Linked DNA regions of Arabidopsis thaliana. The protein of the gene in region 1 interacts with the protein of each later gene in a biochemical or structural test. Each region holds a gene or a part of one and is shown on either strand. Other genes may lie near its edges.

What was found.
Region 2: the proteins of CRY1 (region 1) and HBI1 form a complex in vitro, tested with the Arabidopsis thaliana proteins (one study listed by BioGRID).
Region 3: the proteins of CRY1 (region 1) and ZTL form a complex in vitro, tested with the Arabidopsis thaliana proteins (one study listed by BioGRID).

The regions. Positions count from the first base shown.
Region 1 is NC_003075.7:5,719,881-5,731,435, forward strand, and holds CRY1 (cryptochrome 1), read left to right. Parts: upstream 1-3,770; 5' UTR 3,771-4,379; coding exon 4,380-4,713; intron 4,714-4,880; coding exon 4,881-5,099; intron 5,100-5,182; coding exon 5,183-6,671; intron 6,672-7,021; coding exon 7,022-7,025; 3' UTR 7,026-7,388; downstream 7,389-11,555. Other genes in the region: APRL6 (APR-like 6), read left to right, coding at 9,631-9,795, 9,879-10,069, 10,162-10,286, 10,438-10,844; AT4G08940 (Ubiquitin carboxyl-terminal hydrolase family protein), read right to left, coding at 11,106-11,555.
Region 2 is NC_003071.7:7,950,287-7,960,729, reverse strand, and holds HBI1 (basic helix-loop-helix (bHLH) DNA-binding superfamily protein), read left to right. Parts: upstream 1-5,990; 5' UTR 5,991-6,283; coding exon 6,284-6,667; intron 6,668-6,745; coding exon 6,746-6,964; intron 6,965-7,042; coding exon 7,043-7,177; intron 7,178-7,266; coding exon 7,267-7,338; intron 7,339-7,413; coding exon 7,414-7,548; intron 7,549-7,639; coding exon 7,640-7,694; coding exon of another isoform or gene 7,695-7,708; exon of another isoform or gene 7,709-8,089; coding exon 8,090-8,184; 3' UTR 8,185-8,326; downstream 8,327-10,443. Other genes in the region: AT2G18320 (F-box associated ubiquitination effector family protein), read right to left, coding at 3,199-3,393, 4,067-4,102, 4,421-4,510. UniProt on the Arabidopsis thaliana protein: Atypical bHLH transcription factor that acts as a positive regulator of cell elongation downstream of multiple external and endogenous signals by direct binding to the promoters and activation of the two expansin genes EXPA1 and EXPA8, encoding cell wall loosening enzymes.
Region 3 is NC_003076.8:23,237,184-23,248,674, forward strand, and holds ZTL (Galactose oxidase/kelch repeat superfamily protein), read left to right. Parts: upstream 1-4,243; 5' UTR 4,244-4,413; coding exon 4,414-4,658; intron 4,659-5,488; coding exon 5,489-7,032; coding exon of another isoform or gene 7,033-7,073; exon of another isoform or gene 7,074-7,140; coding exon 7,141-7,232; 3' UTR 7,233-7,407; downstream 7,408-11,491. Other genes in the region: AT5G57370 (U4/U6.U5 small nuclear ribonucleoprotein), read left to right, coding at 7,628-8,287; VIN3 (Fibronectin type III domain-containing protein), read right to left, coding at 9,355-10,280, 10,344-10,648, 10,736-11,285. UniProt on the Arabidopsis thaliana protein: Component of an E3 ubiquitin ligase complex that plays a central role in blue light-dependent circadian cycles.

The DNA.
Region 1 (11,555 bases):
GCATAAAATATTAAATTGTGGAAGTCAAGTTTAATGATTATGATGAATCCCATAATTATAGGAGAATGTTTAGCAATTATCTTATAAGTAGTTATTTAATTATGTAAATTTTTCGGAAACTTTACGTTAATTCAAAAATGAATATCCAATTAAATATTTGATTACCTATAATTATGGAAAAGTGATATATTCAAATTTAAGAAAGGAATATACGCATTGAATATTTTTAATTAATATGATTCTGTTGCTGAAAAAGGAATTCGATTAATTTAATTAACAAAAATTAATATAAACCAAAAATATAATTAGTTTTATTTTTAAATGTTTAAACATATTTTTTCTATTTAATTATCAAAAATTAAAAAATAGTTTTGTTAAAATTATTTTTCCAGTTATTTAAATAAATTTAGAATATTTAACCCAATTTCGAATTCAAACATATTAATTCGATATTTATAATGTTATATCTATAAATAAAGCAGATTTGATTAGGAAATGTTTTAAAAAAATTAATTGGATTAATAATCTTTTAGAATAGAATAAATATTGTTGATATATGAGTATAATTAGTTTTCCAATTTTAAACCCACGTAATTATGAATAGTATTCAATAAGGGAATATGTTAATTGAAAATAAATAAAAATTCTCTCTCCAAAAATCTTGCTGTAAGATTTATTAAAAAAAATCAATGACTACAATTAATTCAATCGAATGGCCAAGATTATAACGTAAGTTAAGTGATTCTCAGTTAAAGGTATTTTTTTCCATGACATCAACATTTTAAACATATGATTTAAGGTAAAAAAAAATTTTAACTGAGAATCACTTAACGTACGTCTCAAATAATAGTGTAGATCAATTAAATATTGTTATTTTCATATTTACATTCTCATAACAAAAATAAAATTCCAATTTTACCCTTACCATCTCAATTAATTATTAATTTTAGATGATGTGACATTAATTTTATAAGTTTTGATAAAAATTAATTTATTAACATTTTATTTTATGTTGTCTCAAAACTTTAAAATTTCATGTTTCTCATAAATATTTTATTTTAAAATTCAACATAAGAAATTAGGAGAAAATCAAAATATTTAAAAATATTCATTTTTACAATCATATTACATTGTCACAATATCAAAGAGATGTTTTATCTTGGGATTCAATCTTCGATTCTAGATTTCCTCTATTAATCGCTATGAGAATCGACAGTAAACAATTTTCGTTGTCCTGTTTTGCCAACATCAAATTTGATAACCGTTCATGATCTCCTCTTAATCCTATCCATAATTTTAATCGCCAATAAAATTAATTTGATCTCATTCGTCGTAATGAATATGATATCAACGAGCATTGATATGAACTTCTTCTTCGTCGTGAGAAACTTACTATTCGAATTTAAATACTTCACAAATAAAACTATTTTCGACAAAATCTTAATCCGATCTCATTGTCTCTCTTAAGATTGATCAATTCATAAAAATGTTTTATTTTTATTTTTATTTTTAAAAAGTTTTTTTTGCTTTTTTCTCTTGAATTTTAAAAAGCAAATAATATAGAAACAAAATATTAATAAAATGTAACTTTTAAAAATTAAATAAAATTAGCGCTTCATCACCTAAAAATTAATAGTTAATTGAGCTAGTAAGGATAAAATTGGAATTTTATTTTTATTTTGAGATCGTGAGTATGAAAATAAAAATATTTAATTGTTTGTGTATTAAATTTTACAGTTTCTTTTGTATGTGTATTGTTTTTCCAACCGAAAAGTTTTGGATATTAAACGTTCAAATATAAAATAGTTGGAGTTTTGTTTGGGAATTTTCACTAGTAATAAAGCAGAAGTTTTCTAATTTATTATATCCATATATAACTTTACTGTCATTATGGTACTCTTCTATGTTAGATTGTATATATTATAATGAATCAATTACGGATTTGCCATTCTCTTAATTGTATTTATGAATTTTTCCTTTTTGAATAGTTTGTAAATTTTGCCCTTTTTGAGGTTACAAAAATGTGATTTAAGATGCGTTTTACTCGTTATATTTAGGTTTAGTCTTTGGTATAAGTATGTATTTTAAAAAAACGTAACGAGGTACATTTTTAAGTGTTAAAAATAATAAATCCGTAAGATTTTAGGAAAAATATCATTTTCACAAGATTTTTATAAAAAAGGCAAAATCAATAATAATCTCTATTATTTTTTGTACATACATATAATAAAATAATAAGCTCTTTCTAGCTATATTATGAATACTCCTACGAGCAATAAAATAATAAAAGGCACGTTATTTACACTCGAAAACAAGCTAATTTAGAGGTGGTCGAGAGCAGATATCATGATTGTTTTTTTTAATGTATGTAATCCGTTCATTTGTGTCATCATTATTCATTTTTATATTATTTATCCGCTTTGTTAAATATATTTTGTCTGATGTGAATTAATTGTTGAGCGGTAAACCAATCATGAAGTTATCTTTAAATTAATGTGTTATTGATAAAAAAAAAAGTAAATTAGTTGTAAATTTTTTTTTTCGTCAATTTGTTGTATACTTAATCTGATGAATATTTATGATTTTCAGAAATGTATGTTTGTATCTTCTAATTTTTACCCACAAAATTCAATGTCCTACGCATATGATGGAATTTAACCAAATACAAGTAGCTAGTTAGTGATTCTGATTTGTTATTTTTTTTTATGTAGGTCTAAGTTATAAATCAATTTTCTTCGAACCTAAAATATATTTTTAACCAGCTCTCAGTATCATGTTTAAAGCTATTAAAAAATTTAAGTAGACGATTCGACAACTACGCTCACCCTAAAAAAATAATCAGATGAAAAAAATCTAAATCTAAACTATCAAACATATTAAAAACAATTATGAAGACTATTCGACAACTACGCTCACTATAAAAATTAATCAGAAGAGAAAAATGTAGATCTAAACTATCAAACATATATGTGATGGAATTAAAATTGGGTAAAGCCGTAAAAGAGGTTTCATAATTTTGGATTAGTGATTTGGTAACTTAAATTGACTTGTCAAGGGAGTCTTAACTCTATCATGAATCAAGATAAACACTCTCCACACCAAAAACAATATATATATATATATATATATAGATAACATAAAAAGTCCTAAAATATGTTAAAAGGCAAGGAGGGCCAACCATATCCATCTCTCGCCCACTTTTGCTAATATGTCACTCTCTCTCATATCCTAACCTTCCAATAACATTTCAGAACCATCCTCGGTACATCATTTATATGATTTCTCTATTATCCTTAATAATCAACTTTAAAAAAATAAAAGAATAAAATTAAGATATCATTTGTTTTACCAGATAAACCGATCCGATTCAAACTAAACCATATTGATATTTATAATCCAAAAACCTCAAATCCAAAACTATACCAAATCATTTATTATATCATTTTATTTTATCTGAATATACCATTTTTCATAACACAGAAATTTTAAAAACCTAAACGAAAATCGAAACGAATCAGAACCGAAATCCGAATTGAACCATTTGATAATTAACCAATAATCGTCCCACTAAAATCCAAGTGTATAAAAAATCAGTTTAATATTTATATGTAGAATATGTTCTAGAGAATTATAGTATAAGATTCTACATTTTTTTTTTTTTTTTGAACAAAGAAAAAAGGAGAAATTTTAGGGAAAGGAGTAGAAATCTTGTGAGTCACAGTTGATTTGGTTCAACTGGATTGGGATAATATTTCAAGTGGAAAGAAATAAATAAAAGTTGTGGTGGAAAATTATTCCAATAAATCTCGTCGTGTGAATTGAATCATTATTCCTAGTGTCAATCTTCTTCACCTCTCTCTATCAACCTCCAATTTCTTCTTCTTCTTTTTTTTTAGATAACTTATTTTTATTTTATTTTTCTTTGATTTTTCACTTTAAGACAAAAATAATAATTTTATATTTCTACCAAAAATAAATAATAATTATAATTTAATAAGAGATAAATATTTTTTCAAACTGTAACCTAAACAATAAATAAATTAAAAGAGAAATTAATGCAAATATTGCTATATTTTTGGGTTATTACTTAGAGACTACTTTGTCCAAAATTAGGAAAAATCTTTTTGGGTGAATAATTCCCAAAAGTATAGTTGCATTTTGCCAGAGAGGCACTCAGAGAGAGAGAGAGATATTCGTAAAGATAAGCTTTTTTTTTTTTTTTGCCTTCTCATCAAAAATCTTTTTTTTTTTGTTGTCTTTCTTCTCGAGAGAGATAAGTGACCAAAGGGTTTCGATTTCTGGAAATAGTTTGAATAAAAAAGTAATTTTTATGTGATTATTGGCAAAGAAAAGTTTTAGTTTTTTTTAGTTTGTGAGAGATGTCTGGTTCTGTATCTGGTTGTGGTTCTGGTGGTTGTAGTATTGTATGGTTTAGAAGAGATCTTAGGGTTGAAGATAATCCAGCTTTAGCAGCAGCAGTAAGAGCTGGTCCAGTGATTGCTCTGTTTGTTTGGGCACCAGAAGAAGAAGGACACTATCATCCAGGTAGGGTTTCTAGGTGGTGGCTCAAGAACAGTTTGGCTCAGCTTGATTCTTCTCTTAGAAGTCTTGGTACTTGTCTTATCACCAAGAGATCTACTGATAGTGTTGCTTCTCTTCTTGATGTTGTTAAATCCACTGGTGCTTCTCAGATCTTCTTCAACCATTTGTATGGTCTGTTGTTCCTCTTCTCTTCTCTCTTTATCTTATCTTTGAATTTGCATGATAAAAAGATTTGATTTTTGTGATTGGAATCATCTTTTCTCTTATGGGTTATGTTTTGTTTGATGTATTTGTGGAATAAGATGATCTGGAAATGATAAAGTTTTGATCTTTTTCAGATCCATTGTCTTTGGTGCGTGATCACCGAGCTAAAGATGTTTTGACGGCGCAAGGCATAGCGGTTCGATCATTCAACGCAGACTTGCTTTATGAGCCATGGGAAGTGACTGATGAATTAGGCCGTCCTTTCTCTATGTTTGCTGCGTTTTGGGAGAGATGTCTTAGTATGCCTTATGACCCTGAGTCTCCTCTTCTTCCACCTAAGAAGATCATTTCAGGTTTGTTTCTTTGCCACTCTCTCTTGTGGGTTTTCGTTTTTTCCAAATCTGTATCATTCAATAATGTTTCTTTTATGTTGCAGGGGATGTGTCTAAATGTGTTGCGGATCCATTGGTGTTTGAGGATGACTCTGAGAAAGGAAGCAATGCACTTCTGGCTCGTGCTTGGTCTCCTGGATGGAGTAATGGTGATAAAGCTCTCACAACGTTTATAAACGGTCCATTGCTTGAATACTCTAAGAACCGCAGAAAAGCCGATAGTGCTACAACCTCGTTTCTTTCTCCACACTTGCATTTTGGGGAAGTGAGTGTGAGAAAAGTTTTTCATCTTGTTCGGATCAAACAGGTCGCGTGGGCAAACGAAGGAAACGAGGCCGGGGAAGAAAGCGTGAATCTTTTCCTGAAATCTATTGGTCTCAGGGAGTATTCTAGGTACATAAGTTTTAACCATCCATATTCCCATGAAAGACCACTTCTTGGCCATCTAAAGTTCTTCCCTTGGGCTGTGGATGAGAACTATTTCAAGGCATGGAGGCAAGGCCGGACTGGATATCCGTTGGTCGATGCCGGGATGAGAGAGTTATGGGCTACTGGTTGGTTGCATGATCGCATAAGAGTAGTTGTTTCAAGCTTCTTTGTTAAAGTGCTTCAATTACCATGGAGATGGGGGATGAAGTATTTCTGGGACACACTTCTTGATGCGGATTTAGAAAGCGATGCTCTTGGTTGGCAATACATTACCGGTACTCTCCCGGATAGCCGGGAGTTTGATCGCATAGATAACCCTCAGTTTGAAGGGTACAAGTTTGATCCAAATGGTGAATACGTAAGGCGATGGCTTCCTGAACTCTCTAGACTCCCGACAGACTGGATACATCATCCGTGGAACGCACCTGAGTCCGTTCTTCAAGCTGCTGGTATCGAGCTTGGATCAAACTATCCTCTACCAATTGTAGGATTAGACGAAGCAAAAGCACGGCTTCATGAAGCGCTTTCACAGATGTGGCAACTAGAAGCTGCTTCAAGAGCTGCAATAGAGAACGGATCCGAAGAAGGACTTGGAGATTCTGCTGAGGTAGAGGAAGCTCCTATAGAGTTCCCAAGGGACATTACAATGGAAGAGACTGAACCAACCAGACTCAACCCAAACAGGAGATATGAGGATCAGATGGTTCCAAGCATTACTTCTTCTTTGATCAGACCTGAAGAAGACGAAGAGTCGTCTCTTAATTTGAGAAATTCAGTAGGAGATAGCAGAGCAGAGGTTCCAAGGAACATGGTTAACACCAACCAAGCTCAGCAGCGGAGAGCAGAACCGGCTTCAAACCAAGTCACTGCTATGATTCCAGAATTTAATATCAGAATTGTTGCAGAGAGCACTGAAGACTCAACAGCGGAATCTTCCAGCAGCGGAAGGAGAGAAAGAAGCGGAGGCATAGTCCCCGAGTGGTCTCCAGGGTACTCAGAGCAGTTCCCTAGTGAAGAAAATGGTATTGGAGGAGGAAGTACAACGTCTAGCTACTTGCAGAATCACCATGAAATACTGAACTGGAGACGGCTTTCACAAACCGGGTATGTAACTCGCAAATCCGACTCTCTCAACAATAAGTTCACATAAAGATTCTAAACATTTTCAAATTGAAAGTCTCCAAATTTTCAGTAAGTTTCAATCTTCCTACACAATTCAAATAAATCGTCGATGCGCGTTGTGCTTGGCACACTTGTCTAGCCAAGTAGTATCAGTTTTAAATTGAATTTAGCTGAAAAGTTTTGAACTGTTTTCAAATCCAAGTGTTTGCATTTACAGTAGACCACAGTAAAAAAATTAGTGAAAGTTTCTATGTTTCACAGTTCAATTGGAATTTGGTACATTGGTCTAACCAAGTGGCATGAAATTTACTGTGGTATGTTTGGTTTTACAGGTAAAAAGTGCATTTGGAGGTGCAAAAGGAGAGGAACATCATAAGGGCTGTAACTCCGGTGAAATCTGGTTGGACTGTAAACCGAGTACATTTGGTACGGTTTAATGTAATTCCGGTTATGGGGCTGGAGAGAAACTATGTAGGAGTTTGTCTGATGTACATTTTTTATTTATCTCTGGTTCCATCATGTTATAATACACTGTATAGTAAGTAGTCTGTTGCTTGTGGTATTAGACCAGGTCTCATACTTGTTGGCTTTCAAAGTTTTGGTTATAAGTCAAACAGATGCCAATTCTTAATCTTATAAACATATATAGTTCACATTTATTTATGATAAATGACTTGTTAGTGTATATGAAACACGTACGTCTACTTCCATATAACGAGAATCCGAATAGGTATGTATACTGATAGTAGCCTTCGACGTCACGAGCTTCCCACAAAATCTCGTGCTGATTAGAAACTAGACAAGACCACGATCTCAGTTATAATCTCTGCTGGGCCTAATTCGCGTCTGAAAAAACGTGTCTCACGAAACTGTGAATAACTTAATGAGCTTAAATCCAAAACAACTTCTATAAAATGGAAAACGACGATGAAAGACTTCGAAATAACTCTACCAAATTTCGTTACCTTTGACAACGATTTGATATGTTGAAACTGTTTCTTCCCCAATCCTAACGATTTTGATCCTTCTCCTTCTCTCTCTTTTTCTCTTTTACAGAACGAAAAATGACTAACCAAAGCTCTAATTCGAGTTTCCTTCTTTTATAGGTACACTCTAGGGTTTCCATTAACCCAACCGATTAAACCGGGTGATTTAAACACAAACCATAACCGATTTTCCGGTTTACGGGCTTTACACAAGAACTATTCCTTAATGATCTCTTATGATCCATCCCAAACCGAATCTCTATCGGGAAAAATGTCATTTAAATCATCACTTTACCATTTTCGTTGGTTTAAATCATGAACTCTCGATCTGGTGATTTAAATCCTCAATTTTATGTTGACGTTTAATTTAATCACGAATTCTCGTTAACTAAGCCAATTAAGACACATCGTTAGAAATCTTTCTAATCAAAATTTCTGAGTTTTTCTCTATTTTTCTTCAGAATCTCTTATCTTCTTTGGAATATCTCTTCTTCTTCGAATTCAAAGTAATCTTTCGTCTTTAGGTCGATTGAAGACACCGAAAAAAAAAAATTGTGCCTCAATTGGCTTAGTCAACGAGAATTTGTGATTAAATTGAAAGTCAACATAAAATTAAGGATTTAATTTACGAGATCTAAAGTCCATGCTTTAAACCAACGAAAATGGTAAAAGGATGATTTAAATGACATTTTTCCCAATCTATATCTCTTATGATGTGACACGTCGTAGTTAGATTTGATTCATCCTCTGTCTAGTTTATTGTATTTTCCGAGTGTCTGAATAATAGTTACCATCGAGAAGTACTTTATAAACTTCGTATATCTTTTTCTGTTTGATGAAAGCATATTTTAAAATAAACACGTAAATAAAGCATTTTCTGAAAACGAAAACAACAAAAGGGAAAATACTCTTTAAAAAATAGAAAAGTGTTTAACATAGTCACACTTTTTCAATTACAAATATTTTTACGTAGCTTTTTATTATGTGCGTTCATTTATTACTCATATATTTCCAAACTTGTTTATTGTTTATTTGCTAAAAACATTATTTCTCTTATACATAATAATTATGTGAAAGTATTTAAAAATTTAGTAAGCAAATATATTAATTTAACAAAATATTTATAGAATTTAACTTTATCACTTTCCTTGAAATATTGTTGGACTGTCTCATTATTTATATATTTGTTCTTTATGTACATAATAATAACTCTTCTTTATGTATTTGTTCACTAATAACTTTTCATATAAAAATATTTCAAAAATATCGTTTAATCATAATTCTTCTTTTCTATATTGGTATTCATAAAAAATCTAACAATCTTTAAAAAATATTTACAATATAACATAAAATTAGATAAAATTTATGTAACACTTAAATTTATATCATAATAATTTAATACATAAACATAATCAATGAAATTTTTTCAATACAAAATTGTGTTGAAAGTGAGTTTTCCAAAGCTCATAGGCTAGTGGATACTAATATTTAAGAAAAAGAAAAAAAAAAAAAGATATGTGGTCGGCTTTCTTCCACCGCAACGAAGTTGATTGACTCTGAGAAATCTCTTTTTTTTTTTGCCTAATTATGATTATTACTTTGTGTATCTGACGTCTCAGACAAATTATTTGAAGCCAAAATATTTGTTTATTTACGAACTATCCAGTTGTGTTGTGTCGTAAACTGCCACTTCTTCTTCTTTCTCAGACAAATTATTTGAAGCCAAAATATTTGTTTCTTTACGGTCATCAAATCAACCGGATCATTTTTTGGTTTATCTTCCTTGTCCTATCTTCGAATTTGGATTTTAATCTTTTTGGTAAACGCCATTAAATTTTTGTTTCTTGACGACAACGACTTGTCAACCTTTCTTTGCTGGCAACACCTACCTTTGTCATGTCTGTATAATCCTAGTTTTCTCCAAAAACGTTTTGTCTAGGAAATTTTCTTCTTCGATGGAGAAGAAGCTGACTTTGTTGTTGTTGGTTGTGGTGGTTTTGTTCGTAAATCTAACAAACGCCACCGTTAGGGTTCAGATTTGTCCTAGAGAATCTGCAAAAGATTATATCTTAGGGTTTCGAGATAAGTCAGCCTTGCATCGTCCTGGTTTTGTCACTGAGGTACTTTTAAGAATCATTGATTTATCTACCATTTGCTTTCTTGATCTGAGTTTTGTGATTGATGTTTTTGTTTGTTTATGAAGGGAGATGATCGGTGGCTACAAATGGCTGCAGATATGGTTGATAAGAAGAATAAGTGTGACTATGCGGCTTTACTCTTCTATGCATCATGGTGTCCTTTCTCCAGATTAGTTAGACCAAGTTTTGATCTTATGTCTCTGTTATATTCATCGGTTCCACACTTTGCAATTGAGGAATCATCAGTTAAAGCTAGGTGGGTTTTGTATAAAAGACTGAAATCGTGTAATTTGATTGAGAACTTCATGGTTTGATGCTCAGTTTTTTTTGTGGTGTGGTATGGTTCAGTACCTTGTCCAAGTATGGAGTTCATGGGTTTCCTACTATCATCCTTATGAATTCGACAATGCTCGTAGTTTACCGGGGATCGAGAACTCTTGATTCCCTTGTTGCCTTCTACACTGATGTTACGGGTAAGGTATTTGAGTTGTTACTTTGGCTATATCTTTGTGTTGTTGTGTGCCTCAGTCTTGTTGTGGTTGCTATTGTGCTCCTGTTATAGGTTGTATATACCAATTAAGATTTCAGCAGATGAAACTAACCAGGACAAATTCATTCATGTAGGAATTGAAACGATGGATGAAAGATGGGTTGAGAGAAACAGATTAGTTCCTCATTTCCACGCAGAGCCAGAAAATTGCCCGTTCCCATGGGCAAGAAGATCACCCGAGAATCTGCTTCGCCAAGAGACTTATCTGACGCTTGCCACGGTGTTCGTCTTGTTGAGATTACTACACTTGATTTCCCCCACAATGGTTGTGTTCGTGAAATTCACTTGGGGACGGGTGTCAAACATGAGACTAGGGAACCCCTTGGAACATACTGTGACCATGTATCTTAAAGAACCTTGCATGAGTAGCAATTTGCAGGAAGGAGCCATGAATGCTAGAGCATGGGCTTCCAAGTCTTTGGCTACTGTCTCAATTGCAGAATCAAGCTCATCAAGCAGAAGTGTTTCAGCTTCACAGTGACTTCATATTTTAACCATCTTGTATAATAAACACAACTGTTCCTTAAACCAATGAGGGGCTTTGATTCATAGCTAGCTTACCAGTTTGTAGCAAAGTGTAAAATGCTTTCAGATTACAACATTGTAGCTCAATTCATTATGTGTCAATCTTAGATCATAACTGATACTACAACTACTTGAGCTCTCTTTCGAATAGAGTGATCCAAGACTATCGAGATATAATATCTCTCTGCTCAATCTATATCCATTATTTGAGCCAGAATTAACCAACTTGCTCCATCTGCTGCATATCTGCATACTTATAGAGCTTTTCATTAAACACAACCTGTGGATCTTTACTAACCAAAACACCATTCTCGTCGTAAGCATCCTTCAAAAACACAGTCCAGTTCATCTCAGTACCAGCCAAGTAAAAACTCATGGACTGCTTCTTCAACATCTGATAAGTCTGTCTAGTCAAACTAAACTCATCTTTAAACTCCACAATATGATGAATCGAAGCTCTCTTCTCCAACGTCAAGTTCAAGAACTCGTGCACAATCCCAACGCGATACTTCTCCGCTTCCAAACTCCAAACATCAAGCTTCCAACCATCCGAATACGGCGAAACAAGAGGAAACGTATTCAACAAATTCAGCTTCCTCGTATCCTTCTCTTCCAACTCCAACTCCTTCCCATGCTTCACCGGAAACTTAAACACCCGTTTCGCCTT
Region 2 (10,443 bases), on another chromosome or scaffold:
CAAATATATTAGTTAGCTTAAATTACTTAAGTTTATCATGATTAAGTGCTTTCTGGGTCGTCTCATACCTTATAAATTCGTCCTTAATCTCAACATGTAAAGGGGCTTGAATCGGTATTTTGTTTAGGGAGAAACCCTACTAAGGAAAGGATGTCCGACACCTCTTTCTTCATTTATCATCAGAATGGAATGGAATGAAAGCCAAGCATCTACTAGCTGCCTAGCCAGTAAGGGGGAACGCTCCTGCTTAGTACAACCAGAAAGAAAGAATGCAGAGTAAGGCCGGGAATAGGCTTCGTAAGAGGACTGTTTGAGGTACTTTGGAAGGACAGTTACACCCATGCCAGCGGAAGACTTAGGATAAGCGGTCACTACCATCTTATTACTATGGGCTAAGCAGATACTATCACCTTAATAGCAGCAAAGAGCCATAATTGAATCACGAGGCTTTAGCTCCGAGGAAGTTTAGAACAAATTGAATTAGAATTGACGTAGCGAACCAAGCCTCTGCCATTTCAGAATCTCCTTGTAGAAATTGTAATATAGTATAAAAACTTATATAACACAGAGATTTGATAATTTTTTAATTGTTGAATACTTTTTTTGTGCTAATTTTTATGTGATTAAGATTTAATTAATTTTATATATTAAATATTAAATTGTTTTACGAACTTATTTGTTTATAATTTGGTAACAGATATATATTTGAATATTCGGTATATTTTGCTTCAGTTTAGGAAATCTTTGATGACCCGTCTTTAGATCCAATAAACTTTATAATTAAGAAATGAATATTATAGTTAAATGATTTTGGTAATCTTAATGACGTCATTAAAGGATTTTGTTTTTGATTAAATTTTTCTAATGGCATTGTCATGTAATTAATTACAAAAATTAAGGTTATATTTAAAATGTACTTCCCAGTGGACATCTATTTTATGGGATGGAGCTATAGAATCTAGAGTTCTTTTTTTTTGCTGTAGACATTCATTTGTAAAAGTAAACGTACATGCATATAACAACAAATATATGCGTCTAATAAATGAAATAAAGGTCCACATGACATAATAACATGCTACAAAATAAAGTTCACATCTCTCATAACATTTAAATGAAAGATAAAATTAAAACTAACAAAAAAAACTACATTACTATTTTCTTAATTCAATTGTGTCATCTACCTAATTCACTCATTAAATTTTGTTTTGTGATCAACATTTTACTATGATCCACCTCGTCATGTGCTACTCGTATTGGGTATTCGTTGTTGTTCTATAGCCTATATGGACCAAACTTCGCTGCTAAAGTAAGGTTTTCTTATTTTATTTGATCAGATTCCAACTTTACATGATCCCTTTGAAAAGTTCCACAGTCGATGTTGTTAAGATGCTCCCTCGTACTCACATGCCCACGTAAATTATAAAACATTTAATTATATGGAATCTTGATTTTTTTTTTTTCAAATTTAATATTATTTGTCAGGGTTCGAGTTTTCCCAATTTCAACTATCTATGACCATCCGTAAACGTTTTCACTGACCTGAAATTTTTATAGATTTTGGAAGATTATATAGTAAGACTTTGGATAGTCCTCGGTTAACAAAAATAATAAAAAAAAATGAATCTTTTAATTTGAAGATAATGAAAATTGTTTAGAAACAGTGGTTACTATGATTTCACCTTTTAAAGAAACGAAAAAAACGAATTTTATTCACTTTTTCATAAAATAAGAATTAAAATTTTAAAATATATATAAAGTAATAACTTTGTTAAAAACTTCATTTTAATTGTACAATTTATTGATCAAAACATTTAAATCTAGTGGTTCAGATTGGTATGTTCATTGTATCATCATCCAAAATTCAAACCCGCATAATGTTATCTTCATGGTTTTTTTTGTTTTTAGTAGATAGCATATATCCAAGAGTTTTATGTAGATTTTTGGTTATCGAATTTTCGACAGCAAAATTTAATATATAATTTTTAGTTAAATTTCATAGAGCATTGGCTTAGCCATCATGAGAAAACAATCTGTAAGATAACTATTTGAACAATTTAGCCTTTTTAATGTCGACTTAAAAACCCCTTAGGAATCAAACACATGCATGTTTACTGGTGGTGGCGCTATGAAACTAGTTGTGGGAGTGTGGCAACAATAAGTTCTTCAACTTTTTCTTGCAAAGGAATTTGCATTAGTTATTTACCATATCTGGTCCAGATCATAATTATTCTAAGCTTTTGAATACTTTTTATTTTAAGATATAAACTAATTCAATTTGTCTCGTAATCGAATCAGAAGCACAAGGATTCGTCCGGATAGAAGGGTATTTTATTTGGTGCCTATTTTTTTGATTAAAAATAAGTAAATGTTGATATTGAGGTTTGTAGTATAGTGTTTATATATATTTATAGACTATAGTGTTTCAATTCTATATATTTATTAATACAATTTAATTTTTTAGTCCTCGTTGAAGTTGGGAAATTATGAATGAAAGAAGGATTGTCCAAATAAATAAAACTGGATTTCGACTTGGTCACTTGGAATATTGGATATATGACATGCAATACAATGTCGTCATAGAAGGAACTTGTGACCATTTATTATTATTTTGTTACATTTGTTTCACACGCACTGTTGATTACACTAGGCTTGACTTCATATGTTTGCATTGGATGTAAGGCCCAACATCGAAGCTTGTTTGTAGTCGACAGTTACTTCCTCTACTTTGAAAATTAATGTAAGCGCAACATTGACTTCATATGTTTGCATTGGATATAAGGCCCAACATTGGATGCTACACTTTGAGGTATTACTATGAGTACTAGAACTTTGAATCTGTTCATCATGCCGATTGCTTTCATTTCAAAATTCGAACATATCACCTTGTCTCCAACTCAAGCTCAAAAGAAAATAATACAAGAGTTTTCAAAATACTACTTATGACCAAAATTAATATTATATTAGTCTTGTTTAAAGGACATTGCAAAAGAAAAGGAAAAAAAAACGAATGAAAGTTGAGCTTTTTTTATTTTCTTTCTTTCTAATTCAAAGAAGAGTTATAAGTTATTAATAAATTGTAACTCTTGTTGTTTCCTTTTTGACTAATAGTGTAGTGTTAGACCTTGTTGTTAACTTGGTTCGCTTTCACTTCTTCTCTTTCCTAATTTTGCTCTTCCTCTTCCTTGATTTTCACTAAACTTAGCTTGGAACATAAGAGCTGGAGCACACAATTGGGCAAGAAAATGTTCTAACTTCTCCAAGATCCAATTTTTTCAAGCATATATTCTCTCCAATGATGTAAGCATATTTGTAGGCTTGAGATTCATCTAACTCAAAAACCACGAAGACTTTCTTCTCTTCATCAATGAAGAAACCGCAAGTCTCTTCATAAAACTGAAAATCAAGAACAGTGAGTGGTTCTATATCAACTTTTAAGAAGGGGGTCCACAACACCACTTAGGGCTCAATCTTAGTTATAATCCAAATCTCTATCACAGGGATTGATATAACACCGAGAGTTTCTCTTCTTTAACGCAAGATAGAGTTTCATTATTGTTATCATCCTCATGATGCTGAAATGGCAGAGGAAGAACCTGTCCAAATCTCTCTGCTGTAAAATCAAAACATATTAAGAAATATGGGGTTTGAAATGGATCACACCCTTTCATTCTTTCTTGAGTCCAATAGTAAGTATTTCCGGTTATTAATACTTAACCCAAACCAGAGAAGTGTTTGGATTGTGGGTTAACCGGTCGAACTGGAGGGTCCGAATTGGACGTGAAAACACTGAAAAAAAAGTAATCTATTTGTGTATCAGACTGTTACACATAACAAAAAAACATATAAGCTTTTGTTACTGGCATCGATATTGTTATTACAACGGTTCTGTTTGATATTATCAGTAAACAAATTAGAAAACTTTTTATCAAAAAGAAACAACTTAATATTGTTAGACAGATACATCTTAGATGTGAGAAACCTTAAGAATTATATCATGACTTGTATTTTTTAGGAAAAAAATCATTAATGCAGCCAATGTTATAAAGTTGATTCAATTTGGTCCAACTATGTAGATTGAAAGTAATGACTTTGTGCTATATTGCTACATGTATAATATTAACATAACTAGCTAACTTTTTCACAATGGAAAACTTATAAGAACTTAAATCCAAAAAAAAAAAAAAATCGCTCGTTTTGCAGTTCTTATGAATGTGATTGAAATTTGGAAGTGGGTAAACTTATAACTTTAATAGTATTACAACAGTGAATGGAGAAGGACACTATTAGGGACAATGTTCCACATCGGAAGTTAAGTAGGATCTTAAGTGGTATATATAAGATAGCGGCCTCTCCACCTATTGCCAATTGGTTTTAGGTTGGAAGCCCACACTCTAATATGGTATCAGAGCCCGATCCGCACATACTCAACCCGATCCACATCGGTCCGGCCCAATACTTGGCCCGCCGATCCATGCCCAAACATATCGAGATCAATGGCTAGAAGAGCCATCATCTCGAGGGGGCGTATTAGGGACAATGTCCCACATCGGAAGTTAAGTAGGATCTTAAGTGGTATATATAAGATATGGGTCTCTCCACCTATTGCCAATTGGTTTTAGGTTGGAAGCCCACACTCTAGTAGACAGAAGAATATGATCAAACACTCTGATCAAAAGCAATGGTCTCCTACCTTCCAATCACTTATCTTCAAACCCATTGTTTTCTTTATATATTTTAAATATATTTTGATGTCGCTTTTAATTATTAACATGTCATGTTATAGATTAATTTCTAAAATATTCAATGGTTGGTGGTATACTGTTCTTTGTTGTCTTGCTGTATTATCTATCTACTCATGGATTTTCGTTTGATTCTTTTATGGAAAACCCAAGATGACAAGATCTTTTGCATGATCTTGTCTTGTGTCTTTATTTCAAACTAACTGAATATAGTTAGTTATATATTATTGTTATCAATAAGCTGGAGTAGCTCAGTTGGTTAGAGCGTGTGGCTGTTAACCACAAGGTCAGAGGTTCGACCCCTCTCTCTAGCGATGTTTTCTTCTTTTCAGTTTTTTTTTTTTTTGTACTGATACAATTACAATTTACAACACAAAATACAAACTATTAGACTACATGTCAATAATGTCATGATGCAAATTTTGCGGTCAAACTTTTTTTAATATAAGTTTTGTTACATGGATTCAATGTAGTTTGTTTGGGTTTTACTTTGTAAGTAAGTTTTATAGAAACAATCAATTTTCTGAATTTTAGTTTGGATTGAATTCAATTAATTTGACTATTCCAAATGTCAATATATGTTAAGGTCTCACTCATTGTTTATTTTTTCCTTGTAAAGCTCCTCTCATAAACTTGAAAGGGCAAAAAAGAAGAAGAAAAAAAAGAAAACATAACACACACAAAGAAGGGATAAAGAACCTCTAAATTTAGTGTTCATAAGGACATGCCCACATGGTGTGGGTTATGTCACTTAGACCCTACACCTTCTCCTCTCACCTTCTTTGCTCCCAACCTTTTCTTTTATCAATTTATGTCCCTCTCTCTCTTAGATACCGAATCTTTACTACTATTTTCCGCAATTTGTTCTTGAGCCTCTTTTTTCTCCTAGTCATAGTCAAGTGTCTCTAAACGATGGACCCGATTTATCCACCAACGCTAACGTTTAATCTATCTCACTGTCATTTGTGACTATCACATAGCTACAGTACGACCATTTTCGTAAACTTATCATAAAAGATCGGTCTCAAATCCGATACAAATGTTATGTTGAACATCTACGTAAAATAGAAAACTATTGTTATTGCTATATATTTTTTAAGGGATACGTATAAAAAAGTTGTGGCGTATAAAAAACGTGTGGTACCATTTTGAATTGGTAAGAGAGTATTTATTTCTAGAGAGGTAAGAGATAACAAATAAGTAAATGAAATTTCTACATTTATAAAGGAAAATAAAATAAAAACATAAGAAGTAGGGGACCTTATGTGTGTGGGTCAATGTTGTTTTCTATTTAAAGCTAAGAAGAATGATTTCAATGGATTAGTTTCTCCCAACTCTTTCATCTTTTTTAAGCAACCACCCAAAAACAATATTACATAACCTAAATCTCTACTTCTTCATACATTTATAGCAAATCCTCTTTTGCTTTAAACCCACCAAATAACTCAGAGCTTTTTTGCATTTTTTCCCATTCTCTATTTTGTTTTGTACTTTTGGTCTCACTTTAAAAGATCATAAGTTGAAAGATTTCTGCAGAGAACAATATGTTGGAAGGTCTTGTCTCTCAAGAAAGCTTGTCCTTAAACTCTATGGACATGTCTGTACTTGAAAGGCTTAAATGGGTACAACAGCAACAACAGCAACTGCAACAAGTTGTGTCCCATAGCAGTAATAATTCACCTGAACTTCTTCAGATACTTCAGTTCCATGGAAGCAACAATGATGAGTTGTTGGAGAGTAGTTTCAGCCAATTTCAAATGCTTGGATCTGGTTTTGGACCAAACTATAACATGGGTTTTGGTCCTCCACATGAATCCATTTCAAGAACAAGTAGCTGCCATATGGAACCTGTGGATACAATGGAGGTTTTGTTGAAGACCGGTGAAGAAACCAGAGCCGTTGCCTTGAAGAACAAGAGAAAACCAGAGGTTTGTAAGATCAAAATTTTGGATAAAAACTTTGTTTTGAGACATGGTTTTTGATATTTTTTATTAATAATGTCTTAGGTTAAGACAAGGGAAGAGCAAAAGACAGAGAAGAAGATCAAAGTAGAGGCTGAGACAGAGTCAAGCATGAAAGGAAAATCAAACATGGGAAACACTGAAGCATCTTCAGACACTTCAAAGGAGACATCGAAAGGAGCTTCAGAGAATCAGAAATTAGATTATATCCACGTGAGAGCTCGTCGAGGCCAAGCCACTGACAGACACAGCTTAGCAGAAAGGGTAATAAAAATAAATAAGTTTCTTGTGATACAAGAATCATGATATATCTAGGGTTTCTGAATGGATTTGGATTTGCAGGCGAGAAGAGAAAAGATCAGCAAGAAAATGAAATATCTGCAAGATATTGTGCCTGGATGCAATAAGGTCACAGGAAAAGCTGGTATGCTTGATGAGATCATCAATTATGTTCAATGTCTCCAAAGACAAGTCGAGGTAAGCAATGAAACCATGATTCTCTGTAACTTAACTTCACTATTAACCAAAGAGAATAAGTCTAATTCTTAAAGAGCCATACTTTGCAGTTCCTGTCGATGAAACTTGCTGTCTTGAACCCGGAACTAGAGCTTGCCGTGGAAGATGTATCCGTAAAACAGGTGAAAACACATTGTCTAGACCCTCAAAGTCATATTGATATTGCTCAACAAACTTAAGGGTTATGAAATTTTCAGTTTCAGGCTTACTTTACAAATGTAGTTGCTTCAAAGCAATCAATAATGGTTGATGTGCCATTGTTTCCGTTAGACCAGCAAGGATCTCTAGATTTGTCTGCGATAAACCCGAACCAAACGACATCTATCGAAGCTGTAAGTACAGCTTTATATGAAACTGAAAAACTTGTCAGAGTTTTTGTTCCTTGTCAGTGAAGTAACCTGTCTCTGTATCTCTCTATTTCAGCCATCTGGAAGCTGGGAAACTCAATCACAGAGTCTCTACAACACATCTAGCCTCGGTTTTCATTACTAAGCAAGATTCATTGAAACAACATGGTTGACATCAATCAATCATCAAAATCAGAAGCAAATTCTATTACATTTGCTCATCAAAGTAGTAATTTCGAAATTTGGTTAATGCATTATCCTTTGATCCTTGTTTTCTGATATTTAAACCAGAAGAACTGGAGATAGCAATCCAATGATCTTGTCACCATCAATCTTTGTGTATAGATTATATAGAGAGATAGATAAATATGTTTTAGAGGAGTTATAGATATATATCATATTTGTAGAAGAAAGAGAGAAAACTCTTGTGGTAATTACAATTCTTGTTTGTTTTTTTGGATATATAAATATCTAAGAAAATTATAAATCGTTTTCCTGTTTTTTTTTTCTGCAACGAATATCTAAGAAAACTCTTGTGGTAATTACAATAAAATATCTAAGATTCTATTGTCAACGAAATGTACCCATCAATATGTTCCCATTCGAAGGGTATGGGTATAGAGTTATTAGGTCGCCATGATTTTTTATAAATCGGTGGAAGAATACTTTTGATGATCAAAGTAAACGGTATCTAGGCAGCCAATTAATCAATGTCGATTTTATCTTCACATAAAATTTTATTCATTGAATACAAATTATTTTCTAGCTATTTAATTTATGTAAAATTAAATCGATCATAAGAAAAAAAACTAATAGCTTAAACAGATGTTGTCTTTAGTTATTTTGATACAAGATTGCATTGTATTCTTTAAAAATTCATAACCAACATCATGGCGTTGAATTTGGATGTTGAATCCGAATGATGACTCTCAATGCACATTTAGATGAAAAGAAAAGAAAAAAATTTCGTTTGGAAACAGCTCATCGACTATTCACAGATTCGGGAGAGGTTATTCATTTATTCTTCTATTTTCTTGCTAAAGATTAACCATATATTCGAGTAGGATTCTTGTAAAAAGCAAACATCATCAAATGTGAAGTATGTGTCAAATAAAATTTTGTCAAATAAAACATCATCGAGTAGGATTCTTCTATTTCTATTTTTTTTTTGGATATTAGTTAGTGTCAAATAAATTTTTGTTAATTTAAAAACTACACTAGTAAACATTTTTATAACAAATAAGAAAATTGGATTCTCGAGTGATGGCAAATTCATGAATTCTTTATGAAATTGGTGAACATATATAAAATCGGACGTTGTTTTAAATTTGTTTCATTTTTAATTCAAAGAATGATATTTTAGACGTTTGATCATTGTTGTCTTGTTGATGCTACGATTGCATTCAAACTCTAGTTTTCATTACATTCAAAATATATCTAATTTTGCATTCGGATGCACCTACATATATAATTTTACAAAGCCAACAACATTCGTGCATCTATATGAAGAAACCAAAGATCCCTTAAGTTTCTAGCTTATTATTTTCTTTTCCAACTTTATCAATGCACTACAAAATCTACTACACTATGCTACTATAGTGATATGTATAATGTTACTGATGCTGACACAAGCTCTCTATATATTTATCACAATATGTTTTCTAAAAGTAGCTTTCAAGCTACCAAGTGGGTCAATGTTCTTTTCTCATATCAATTTTTCCAACCAATGATCTATTCATGAACTGTCTGATTTTGACAAGATCTATATGATAAGATATTATCCATAACCAAAAATGAAATTGGAAGTAGTTTTTTGAAGGTAGGAGTAGTTAAGAGATTTGAGAGGATCGAAGAATGAAGAATCTGAACCACAAAGAGTGGGCATCATTGTGGTTGCAGAGATTTTTAACCAAAGTGGACCTTCTTTTGTTCTTTCGGTTCCATTGAATTTTATCTTCCTTCATTTTTGAAGTAGTTGAAAATCTCTTCTATATTATTTTCAAAAAAATTCGAAAAGAAACAAAATTAGAGAGGTGTCGTTATCAAAAATAATGAAAGTCTTTGTTATTTCTGAAGTTAAACCATATATACAAAAAACAAATATAGTTTTAATATCTAAATATAAATTCATTCACTTAATTATAATTTTTAATCTCTTTTTTTTTTGTCTACTCATATTAATTAGAATTCAAAAGATTCATTCATGAAAAATATTGTTTACATATGTGATATGATGCGGTTCGGTACAAACTTTTCGTGCCATTATCCTATAATTATTAACTATATAGTGTATAATTGTATATGTAATCTTAAATTTCTTAAACACTTACATGATACATTATATTTATGTCTTTTATATATTAACAAGAGAGTTAAAGAGATTTTCAAATAAATTATATGTTTAAAAGTTTTAGAAGACTCATGGTTGTAAAACTCATGGTTGTTTAGTAGTTAAAAGACTTATCCAAGTATTGCTCAATTTCAATAGTTAGTCACGATAAAGCTCTTACGGTTTATAAAAAAAAAGTCGTATTTAGTCTAGATTTATGTCGGAACCCGTAGATTGATTTTTCCTTTTTATCTGGAAATATAAGAGCTAATTTTTTTTTGAGATTATAACATATTATTTAGTGATGTGTGTTAATGTAGTCGTTATGTCACTATCCGAATTCAATTATGATATATGTATTTGTGTTAGTGTAGTCGTTAACTCGTTATGTCACTCGTTAATTTGATTGTATGAACCTTCCAAAAAATCTTAGTTAAATTTATAGTGATGTTGAACATCACAATCTTATCATGGTTTTCATGGAATTGAATCGTTAATGACTTGTGTAGGTGAAACTATTCTAATTCCAAGTGTTTGTCACTTTTATTCAG
Region 3 (11,491 bases), on another chromosome or scaffold:
TGAGATCTTAAAAGATATATATTTTAGTATGACAACTTTTTACTTCCAATGATATATGGTTAAAAAAAATTAAAATATATCTAAACTGCCGTTAAAATGGTTGTTGTTGACTTGATGAAAACAGCTAACGGCGTTATTTTCTGGTAAAGGTGCTACTGTGCTAGTCATATTTTACGGTGATGGACCTGATGGTTCTGTTACTAACTTTAGTTACCATCAATGGTAAAAATCAGATGCTACAATAATATCCTGACACGTGTACATTCCTTTAGCTAGTATCGCGGAAGTGTAAAAAGACCGATTCTTGAAAATAATAAAATTGCATTTAAAGCTTTCAGTAGATTTATAGACAAACAAGGAAAAACAAAATAACCTTTTAGTAAATTTTCTTTGCTCTGACATGTACCAGAAAAAGAGAGGGTTAATGACATACGTTTATCTTTTTTTGTCAACGGTGTGAAGCATAAGATTATTCTTTTCTTCATAAATGGACAATCAATATACATAATTGTGTTCATATAAAACAAATCTATTTGAAAGTTTTTGTTGAATTCGGTTCCATATATGTGTAAGAAAAAGCATAAACGTTATTTAAGATCAATAAAGTTCTTATAGACAAATGAAAAATGCAACTTGTGGAATAACACTTGTTACTTTTTTATTAGTGAATCGATATGATCCAAACGTATATATAAACCGTCTACAATATATATTAATTTTCATTTATAGAAGTTGACTTGTTATTTCACAGTATTTTTCACTTTTGACGGTTTGAATCGCAAGCATTGGTAGTATAGTTACATCTATTTCGTCAGTCCGAGAGATTTTACTTGCTATATTGTCCATATATATGTTCTATTTAATTTAGTCTGTTTTTACTCATAGATGCTCTCAAAACTTTATAATGATATGTTTTTACTCATAACTCATGTTCAAAACTTTATAATTATATGTTTTACTCATAACTCATGTTCAAAACTTGTCTCTTTTTCTGTTTAAGTGCTTAGTGCACATCTGCCTACATAACAATCACGCATGTTTACACATAGAAATTGTGTTCAAAACTAAAGGGTTTTTCTCTATAGTAATATTTCTCTTTAACGTTTATCCCTAGGCCCTAGCAAGTAATATTTCTTTTCAATATGTAGGTATTCTACTTAGTTTAGATACAAATATAATTATGAAAAAGAATTAGAAATAAGTTGGATGGTGGGGACAGATTACGCAGCGTTGCAACATATGTAACGTGAAATGATGGTTCGTACAACCTCACGTACACAATCCACTCAAAGTGACGTAGTGTCTTTGGACTTTGCCTTCGATGCATCTCATGTTCTCCTGGTCCCACGATCCTACCTCAATTTTAGATCACACAAACCCATCCCAATTGCTTCATAAAGGTTGTTAGTTTTAGTAAACACACTCAAAAGTGTTGAAATTATAATATTACATATTTTGCTCAAAAAGAGCTAAGGCTTTTTAAATGTACAAACAAATTCTCTTTTGTTATATATTTCTAGATTTGTCTACTTTAAACGTATGATGTGTTTAACACTTCTTTCAACAATATACGTGTATGAATAAACATGTTTTCGACATTCCACTTATGTCAATATCAACACATAATTTTATGGCTAAGCAGTAACCACCAGCTGCTGTGTAAAATCACACTTTAAAAAAGTTTCTTTAGCCTACATCTCTACGATCATGATGCATTGGCAATAACAAGATGACAACAAATTTTACAAAACAATTCTCATACCATGTGGCTTAAGAGAAAAGGCCAGCGAATTTATTCGAACCCAACATATATAGTGAAGATGTCTTTTTCAATCTCTTTTTTTAACAAGTATACTTTTTTTTTTTGGTAAATTTCTTTTAGTGAATTTACTTTCATCTTGAATCATTCTTTTTATTTTCAATTCAGTTTTGTTGATAATAGATTTTCATGAACGAACAAGGTTCTAAGAGATAATAATAATAAAGGGGGAAACAAAACACATGATAATAAGAATCTAATAAACAAGAGAAAAAAGAGAGGTGATGAATAAATGTAGAAGTCGAATCATACAAGAGGTGCTTGTTGGAAGGTCGTTGGACCAACGCTTATTGTGATATTCATGTTCGTATTCTCTATGTAGGTTTTTCTTTATATCTTCCCAGCATATACGTAGTTATTTAAGTTTCTTAGAAAATTACTATACATTGAATATCTGAAACAATTAATCATGATATTATGGAATTTTTTTTCTTTCAAAATTTGTATAAAGAAAAAGGAATTTTATAGTGGGGGCATTTTAGCATCTCGTCGAAGATATGAATGAATAGAGAATTTTGCAAAGTGTAAAGAAAACAACCGACCAAACCCACTTGTTCTCTCACGTCCTTTTTATGTGTTAAATTGTCATACACAAAAAAAATATTTACAATTATAATTTTTCTAAAGTCTTTAATGTCAAAATTATATGATCTATTTATATCAGTAATACAAATGTAAATCGCTATATTTTATATTTTTGTTAAAAACTAAATACCATAATTTAAAAGAAATATTTTCTTTTTCTTTTTATTTGCGAAGATATTGTTTAGTCGTATGGCATTGTATTAGTTACTTACTTAGTAGTTTTACAGAACGAGGTGAAGAATGTCGGAAAAAAGAAAGAGGTGACGAAGAATTTTGACCAATTTGCTACTTTGTAAGGGAAATATAATACAAAAAAATTGTATTTAGCATCATTACAAACAATTTCTCCATTTTGTTTTAACTTTTACTATCAATTTTATTATTTTTATACGAAACTTATAATTAATAACACGAGGTAAGCCTGTTTTGTTAAATTGAGTATGTCAATTCATTTCATGAGATAATAACCTTCAAATAAAGTTCATAAGATAGTTGCCCCATATCGGTAACTTAGGCTTATAAAACAGTCTTATTATTGGTGATATAAAACAGTACTTAACTACTTATATATAAGTACTTACAACTTATTCTTATTATTGTTGATATAAAACACTAAAGTTGGGTTAAATCTTAATTCCAATTCAGCTGTTTGATGTTGGTTTAAAAGTCTGTTTGCACCTATGATTCTATGATATACCGAACCGATTCGATTAACCAGTAGTTACGAGAAGTTATTTGTTTCAACTAACTATCTATTGATTTGATGTAACTAGTTTGGTCCTCTGCGTATAAAAGGAACATTACAGAAGAGATTAAATGATAGGCAATTGATAATTGAGACGGTTCAAGAAAAGATTTAGCAACCAACAACCTTAACAAATTTTCATTTACGTAACTATAATTATAGATCTTGCTATTTTTCCATTTTATGGCGTCTTCTTATTACGAAACTCATACTATTCAGTCACATAATCTCATTTACTGGACTATAATGGGCTTTATTGTAATGGGCTTTATTGTAAGACATGAGCCCACAAATTTGGAAAGTAATAAGCTTCAGCTCAGCTAAAGAGAGTCTAAAAACCAAAGGGAAAAATGTCATTAAAATCCCCAACTTATTGAAAAAGTTGATTTAAATCCTCAACTTCCAACGAAACGAAATAAATATCAAACTTTTGTTGATTTTCCAAATAAATACCAAATTTTGGTTGACTTTCCAAATAAATATCAAACTTTTGTTCGAGTAGCCATATTAAGTATGACATTAACAGACCCTGTTATTAGAGTCCATTTTTTGTTAACAGACTCGTTAATTGAAAACGACAATATTCCCTATAACAATAAAACAACGTCGTTATGTCATAAATGCTCAATTAAATCCCAATTTCAAATCATATGAAGATTTAGGGTTAGAATTTTGCTTGATTTGGAGATTTAAGATTGGATTTGGGAATTTAATTCGGTCGTTATAATAAAACGAGGTCGCTTTCTTGTTATAGGAAACAATAACGTTTTAAATTAACGGATCTGTTAACAGAAAATTAACTCCGTGAACGCAATATGTTAATCTACTTAATATTATACCTAATATGACCATATATACGAAAGTTTGGTATTTATTTGGAAAGTCAACAAAAATTTGATATTTATTTCGTTTAGTTGGAAGTTGATAATTTAAATCAACTTTTTCAATAAGTTGGAGATTTTAATGACATTTTTCCCAAAAATCAAGGGGAGTTTTATGGTTTTATCTACTTGACCCGACAGAGAAATCCGGACCCGGATAAAATCCGACCCGTTCGAATGAACTCATACGGCCGAGATTTTTCCACCAAACTCGACGGTTACCACTCGTTTCTTTGTCCACCATCTTCTCTCTCTCTCTCTCTCAACCCCCGAAAATCTCCTTTTCCCAAAATTTTCCGATTATCTCACGCCGGATTGTTTTTCAATCGCCGTCTTCATAATCTCCGGCGACTGAAATCAGTCTGGTAACTATTTGAATTTTCATGGAGTGGGACAGTGGTTCCGATCTAAGCGCCGATGATGCTTCGTCACTGGCGGATGATGAAGAGGGAGGTCTTTTTCCCGGAGGTGGACCAATTCCATATCCCGTTGGGAATTTGCTTCACACGGCGCCTTGTGGATTCGTTGTTACTGATGCCGTTGAGCCGGACCAACCTATTATATATGTCAACACCGTCTTCGAAATGGTTACAGGGTATCGTGCTGAGGAAGTTCTCGGAGGAAATTGGTTAGTTGTTTTTTTGTTATCTTTGTGATTAGTGTTCTAATTGATGCGAGGAATTTCTATTTTTGGTTATTGGCTCACTTTACCAAATTTTGGCTACTTGGTGGAGTTTGATTAAGGTCCGTTTAGTTTGAGGATAGGTGAGGAATGTTTGTGATGATGGTAATCTGAAGGACACTCTATTGATCACTAGATTTAGTATGGATGGATACTTTGGTGGAGAGAAAACAAAGATATGTCTATTGTTAGATAATCATTAGAGTCTCTGCCAAATGGCAGAGAAGACTCAGTGGAGTCTCTGTGTGTGCCTAAGTATTCTCTGCCTTCAGATGTTTATTCAGTGATTGTAGTTTTCATATTAATCGAGCTCTCATGGCTGTTTTTGAGCTGTTTCAGCTGCTCCGCATGTTAAGGAAACTTGAAAGTGTATATAGATGCCGAGATAAAGCGAGCTATCCCTGTGTAGTTTCTCGGGGTCGTAGCGAACACAATAAATTCTTTACAATGTTGATGTGCAGTGAACCAGTGAAAAGGCTAAGTCCAATGCGTTTAGTTGTGTGTTAGTTTTCCATGAGAGAAGTGCTAGTAGCTTCCTTTATTAATAAGCTTTGATCTTACAGGAGGAGCTGATCAGTTCAAATAGTTGTTATTCTTGAACAGAATGAAAATCTGGTTAGGTTATAATTATGCTTGTTTGGTGTATTTGTTTTTTTTTTCAGTCTCTACATGCACGGCCAAATATTTTGTCTATTGCTTTTCCGCATCAGTAAGTTGGAGATAAATTTTGTTTTTGGTCTTATATTGTTTCTTAATTAATTTCTCGGATTCTGCAGCCGCTTCTTGCAATGTAGAGGACCGTTTGCTAAAAGAAGGCATCCATTAGTTGACTCTATGGTTGTTTCCGAGATAAGAAAATGTATTGATGAGGGCATTGAATTTCAAGGCGAGTTGTTGAACTTTAGGAAAGATGGATCTCCGTTGATGAATAGATTGCGGTTGACTCCTATTTATGGAGACGATGATACTATTACCCATATAATTGGAATCCAGTTCTTTATCGAGACAGACATTGACCTTGGACCTGTTCTTGGATCTTCAACAAAAGAAAAGTCAATTGATGGGATATACTCAGCTTTAGCTGCTGGGGAGCGGAATGTTTCCCGAGGAATGTGTGGGTTATTCCAGCTGAGTGACGAGGTTGTGTCTATGAAGATATTGTCACGCCTGACACCAAGAGACGTTGCATCTGTTAGCTCTGTGTGCCGCAGGCTATATGTGCTGACAAAGAATGAGGATCTTTGGCGAAGGGTTTGTCAGAATGCATGGGGAAGTGAAACAACACGGGTATTAGAGACTGTTCCTGGTGCTAAAAGACTCGGTTGGGGCCGCTTGGCTAGAGAACTGACCACCCTTGAAGCTGCAGCTTGGAGAAAACTTTCGGTTGGAGGTTCTGTTGAGCCTTCTCGCTGTAATTTTAGTGCTTGTGCTGTCGGGAACAGAGTTGTTCTGTTTGGAGGAGAAGGTGTGAATATGCAGCCTATGAATGATACCTTTGTTTTAGATCTGAATTCTGATTACCCTGAATGGCAACATGTCAAAGTGAGCTCCCCTCCTCCAGGACGCTGGGGCCACACGCTCACTTGTGTAAATGGCTCCAATCTGGTTGTATTTGGTGGCTGTGGTCAGCAAGGTTTGCTGAACGATGTGTTTGTCTTGAATCTCGATGCTAAGCCGCCTACTTGGAGGGAAATTTCGGGTTTGGCTCCGCCTCTACCAAGATCATGGCACAGCTCATGCACCCTTGACGGAACCAAACTGATAGTCTCTGGAGGCTGTGCAGATTCCGGCGTTCTTCTAAGTGACACGTTCCTCCTCGACCTTTCAATAGAGAAACCAGTGTGGAGAGAGATTCCAGCTGCCTGGACTCCGCCTTCCCGGTTAGGCCACACACTATCGGTTTATGGAGGAAGAAAGATCTTGATGTTTGGTGGTCTTGCTAAGAGCGGGCCTTTGAAATTCCGTTCGAGTGATGTCTTCACAATGGATCTAAGCGAAGAGGAGCCTTGTTGGAGGTGTGTGACCGGTAGCGGAATGCCTGGAGCAGGAAACCCAGGAGGAGTAGCACCACCACCAAGGCTAGATCACGTTGCAGTTAACCTCCCTGGAGGCAGAATCTTGATATTTGGCGGCTCAGTGGCAGGGCTTCACTCAGCGTCTCAGCTTTATCTACTTGACCCAACGGAGGACAAACCGACTTGGAGAATACTAAACATTCCAGGAAGACCGCCTCGGTTTGCTTGGGGACATGGCACTTGTGTTGTGGGAGGAACACGAGCGATAGTGCTAGGTGGTCAGACCGGAGAAGAATGGATGCTAAGTGAGCTACACGAATTATCACTAGCGAGCTATCTCACGTAACCAAAGAGAGCCTATGTATGAAAGAGAACCCAGCCATAGAAGAAGATGAAAAAGGGTTCTCGGTTAGGATACTGGAGCTTTAGGGGAGAGCGACTCAGTGGTGGGACTTTGGTACTGCTCATATTTTTTAAGTCCTTCTTCTTCTTTCTTCCTCATTAGGAGGACTTTTAGTGCTTATATAATATATATAGTGAAAATGTCATCTCTCTCTTTCTCTCTGTAGTGCTTGTTTCTGTTGTTCTCTTTGAAGTTTGAGAAGTGCATTTGTGTTCATATTCTGTAAATTTTATTTATGATTACAAACTTTAATAAGATCCTTTCTCTTCTTATGCTATTGGACCACTATTTTCATTTCCAATTTCATACTTTTAGTTCGGAGACAAAATGAGATTATTATTATTTTTCCATTGAGTATGATGAATATAAGAAAATTGGAAAAATAGAGGATAAAACCCCAAATTTTCATTTTAATAGAAAAAATTGGGGAAGAAAATTTACAGTGTTGAAATTGGTTAAACCCTGACACTAGCACCTTCCTCAGTCGCATCACCACCATGTCAGAGCGCGACCGCCGCGAACGAGAGAGGGATAAGGACCGTGAACCAGACCGTGATAGACGCCGAGGTAGAGACGACCGTGACCGTGACCGTGATCGAGACCGGGAAAGAGATAGAGAGCGCGACCGTGACCGAGGGCTTAGAAACAAAAAATCCCGATCTCGTACTCCAGACCACCACGCTCGTGCTCGCCACGTGCGCTCTCCGGAGAGGTATCGCTCTCGTTCCCGCTCGATTGACCGTGACCGGGACCGGGACCGTCAACGACACCACAGGCGCAGGTCTCCTTCTCCAGATGCTCCGTCGCGAAAACGGCCTCGCCAGGGTTCAGTAGACGATGAGAAAGAAAGGAATCGCAAAAGAGTAGTGACTGATTCCGTTGACGAGAATGCGTCTACTATTACTAAGAAGAAGGATAAACAACCAAGTGATGCTGCTGATAATGGCGGAGGCGAAGATGAAGAAGGAATGGATGTGAATGAGATTGAGATGATGAAGATGTTAGGGATTCCTACTGGATTTGATTCCACAAAAGGCAAACCAGTTGCTGGTGCTGATGTTAGTGGTATTAGAGCTGTAACTAAGCGTCAGCCAAGACAGTACATGAACCGTCGCGGTGGATTTAACCGTCCTCTACCGGCCGAGCGTAATCGCTAGTCTTCTCAAGGTTAGGCTTTCCACTAAGCTTCCCAAGTTTTTGTTCTATCAATTGGAAGATAGGTTTAGCTCCTATGTGTAGTATGATTAAATTAGATAGGACTTAGTTCTTAGACTTGTTGGCTGCATTAGAAAATGAACTCATCAGCATCTTTTCAGATAATGGATTCTAAGTACTCATCAGGTTCAGCATTTTGCTTTCTCTATATTACTCACTTGTTTTGCTTCTCAATCTAGTTCACTGGTGGTTGTTTAGTTAGATCTATACCAGAGATCTTTGTTTCAGGTGATATCCTCACAAGCTCTATATACAGATAGTTCACTCGGTTAGTTTTGTTATCTGCATGAAGAACTATTTTAGTTAATCCAGAGGAAATGGAACCAGTCTTGTGTTTTTTAGTTTTCTTGCCTTGGCACATTTGAATCTGCATCTTACAAGATCAAGTTGTGCGAGTTACTGCGTAAAACCGATCATTCCACCTATGTGCTGGTATTTACCAATAGGTCTCAACTCTCAACAGCTGAATTTAGAATTTACTTGCCCTTGGATCATTTACTCTGATGAGATTAAGCAGTTTCGGTTTTTCTGATTATTAACTAGAATCTTTCGTGTCTCTGCATCCAGTTTTTGTTTTCGCATTGATCGATTTCTGCTCACCAACCTTTGAATATATCTTGCAGGTCCCTCTAACGCTGTCTTGAACACTAGTCAAAAAGATGAGGGCTAGAGCTGCATTTCCCAGATAGTAGTTACTAGTTACTCCAATTCTTCCCCAGACTCTGTTCTGATGTCTTATAGAGAACAAACTTGTACTCTCTGAATTTGGTTGGAAACAACTCGTGAGTTATTTCTTTTTCGAGATTTAAAAATGTTAATGTTTGTGTGTAATCTCCCGGCTCTAACTGTCAGACTATGGTTCATTTGAAATCAGGCTTATTCATTTTTGAGTTTTTCACTAAGCATCAGAAAGAAATTGGAAATGCGTACTTACATAATTTCATTCCAAAATTATCGTTATGGTTTACAATATCAAGCGAGTTAATAAATAGACCGATTTCAAAAGCTTTTAATGCCAAAGCTTGAGGCAGATCCCAGCAGGTACTACACCATTTGTCGATGATCTCTTACTCAGTATACTTTCTGAGAATGTATCCACAAGCTGTTGTCCCAAAGAAGACAGATCCTCCATAAACGTCTCAACAAAGATCTTCACAACTCTTACTTCTCGGTGAGTAGCTCTTAAGCTATACCATGTCAAGAACCTTTCCCTAAAACTCTTGTCTATATGTCCTTCTTCCTCTAAACATCTAATCGTCTTAACAATATGACCCAAGTCTTTATCTCCTACTCCATTTGCGGCATTATTGATCTCAGGTTTCTCGTTCAAGGATACTGTTCTTGATTTGAATCTTTTATTCCCTCCTTGCTTTCCTTTATAAATATCTCTCTTGCAGGGTGTTACAAGCAAGTCTCTTCCATCTATCTTGTTTGCTTTCCTCTTTACAAGCCTCTCTTCTTCAAGCTCAGATTCTACTTCTCCTGCACTACAGTGTTCAGTGTTGTCCTTGTCACCATTTCCTTTGCTGCAGCTTTTATTGACATTATTAGATTCATCTTCTGGTAAAGATGGATTACTACAAAGACCACTGCTTGAGTTTGTCAAAGGGCTTTGCTGGTCCCCAGCTTCATCTCCATCATCCTTCAACGTTGTGAACCGAAGCTCAGACTCATCTAAGTCACCTTCCTCGTTAAAGGAAACCACTCTGAGACAGAACTCGGTGTCGGGTTCAAGTCCTTGGATGGCAGACGTCGTCTCAGGTAGATAAACAACACAATTCCCCTGAGACGAGCATTCTTCGTCCTTCGACTTTCGACAAAACAACCTGAAACCTGTGATCTTGTTTTGTGTAGAAGAAGACGGCTCCTCGGAGTCTACTCTCACAGTGACTGATCTTGCTTGAATCTCTTCTACTCTCACGGTCATCTTGTCACCTAACAGGAACTAAAGTCAACATCTTCGGTTTTAAAACCAAAGTAATGTATGAACACACTAACCTTGTCCTGAAACAGATTCTGATGGTGAGACCACTTTGTCCAGAGCTTCCATTGCCTGAGAACACAGCTTCTGGACATGCACACCCGAAGAAAGTCTATTGACGATGCCTCGAGCCATCTTCATGGCCCAACCCGACAACGGACCCACATCACCTTCGAGCTTCTTCACCGCCTCATCCATAAGTTCCAACAGATTCCGATACTTCGTGGTACCTCTCAACAGCTTCTGTCCTAAAGAAAGACGATAACAAAGTACATCCACACGCCGCGTCTCTTTCGCCACCTTCACTTGTTTTCTCCAGCATCTGTAAGCACTCGCATACACACACATTACATTACATTCTCTTTTCATTGTAGTATATCCATAGATTTCAATATCTAAAGATCCTTACCCGAGCAAGTCATTATCTTTACCGCAATACGCGCAATAAAACCTACCATCAAGATCATCACTCCCAATCCCATACCTATCTTGCTTCAAACCACATTCCAAATGACAAGACGATCCACAAGCATCACAAGTAAGCCATAAACTAGGATCCTTATTATCATCAAACTTTTGACAGATGCAGCAAGAACACCTTCTGCAAAACGTATCATCGCATCCAAGCGCAGCTCTACAAGCTAAATTCTCACAGCAAATGATGTAACCGATCATCTTCTTCTCCTTCTTCCTCGAGTTTCTACGGTCAGAACAAGAGGTCTCTCCAAGAGGACGAGACACAAGATTCAGAAGATTCTCTATGAGCTTTGGTTTGTTAAGACCAGTGTACTTCCTTTCTTTACCCATCTCAGCACATATGATCTTCATGATCTCATTTCTGCTCCATGAATTCAAAAGCTCCGAAGCTTCTTCAGGCTGGTTAGACAATGCGTGGATCAATTCTCTCCTTTCACTTACATTCAAAACGTTTGGTTTACAAGTCTCAATGCATTCATTATCTGCACCATAAAAGACCAATCCTTTAGCCCTAGATTCTCCTCAAGATAAAAAGGAGAGGATCACAGATTCTGACTCTTTTTGGGGTAAAAATGATCAAAAGTATAAAACTTTGAATGAATCTCAACAACCCAGAAACGAAATATCAACAATGACGACGAATCCAATGCGAGAAATAAAACGTTTGTTGATATTGTGTAAAAACGTC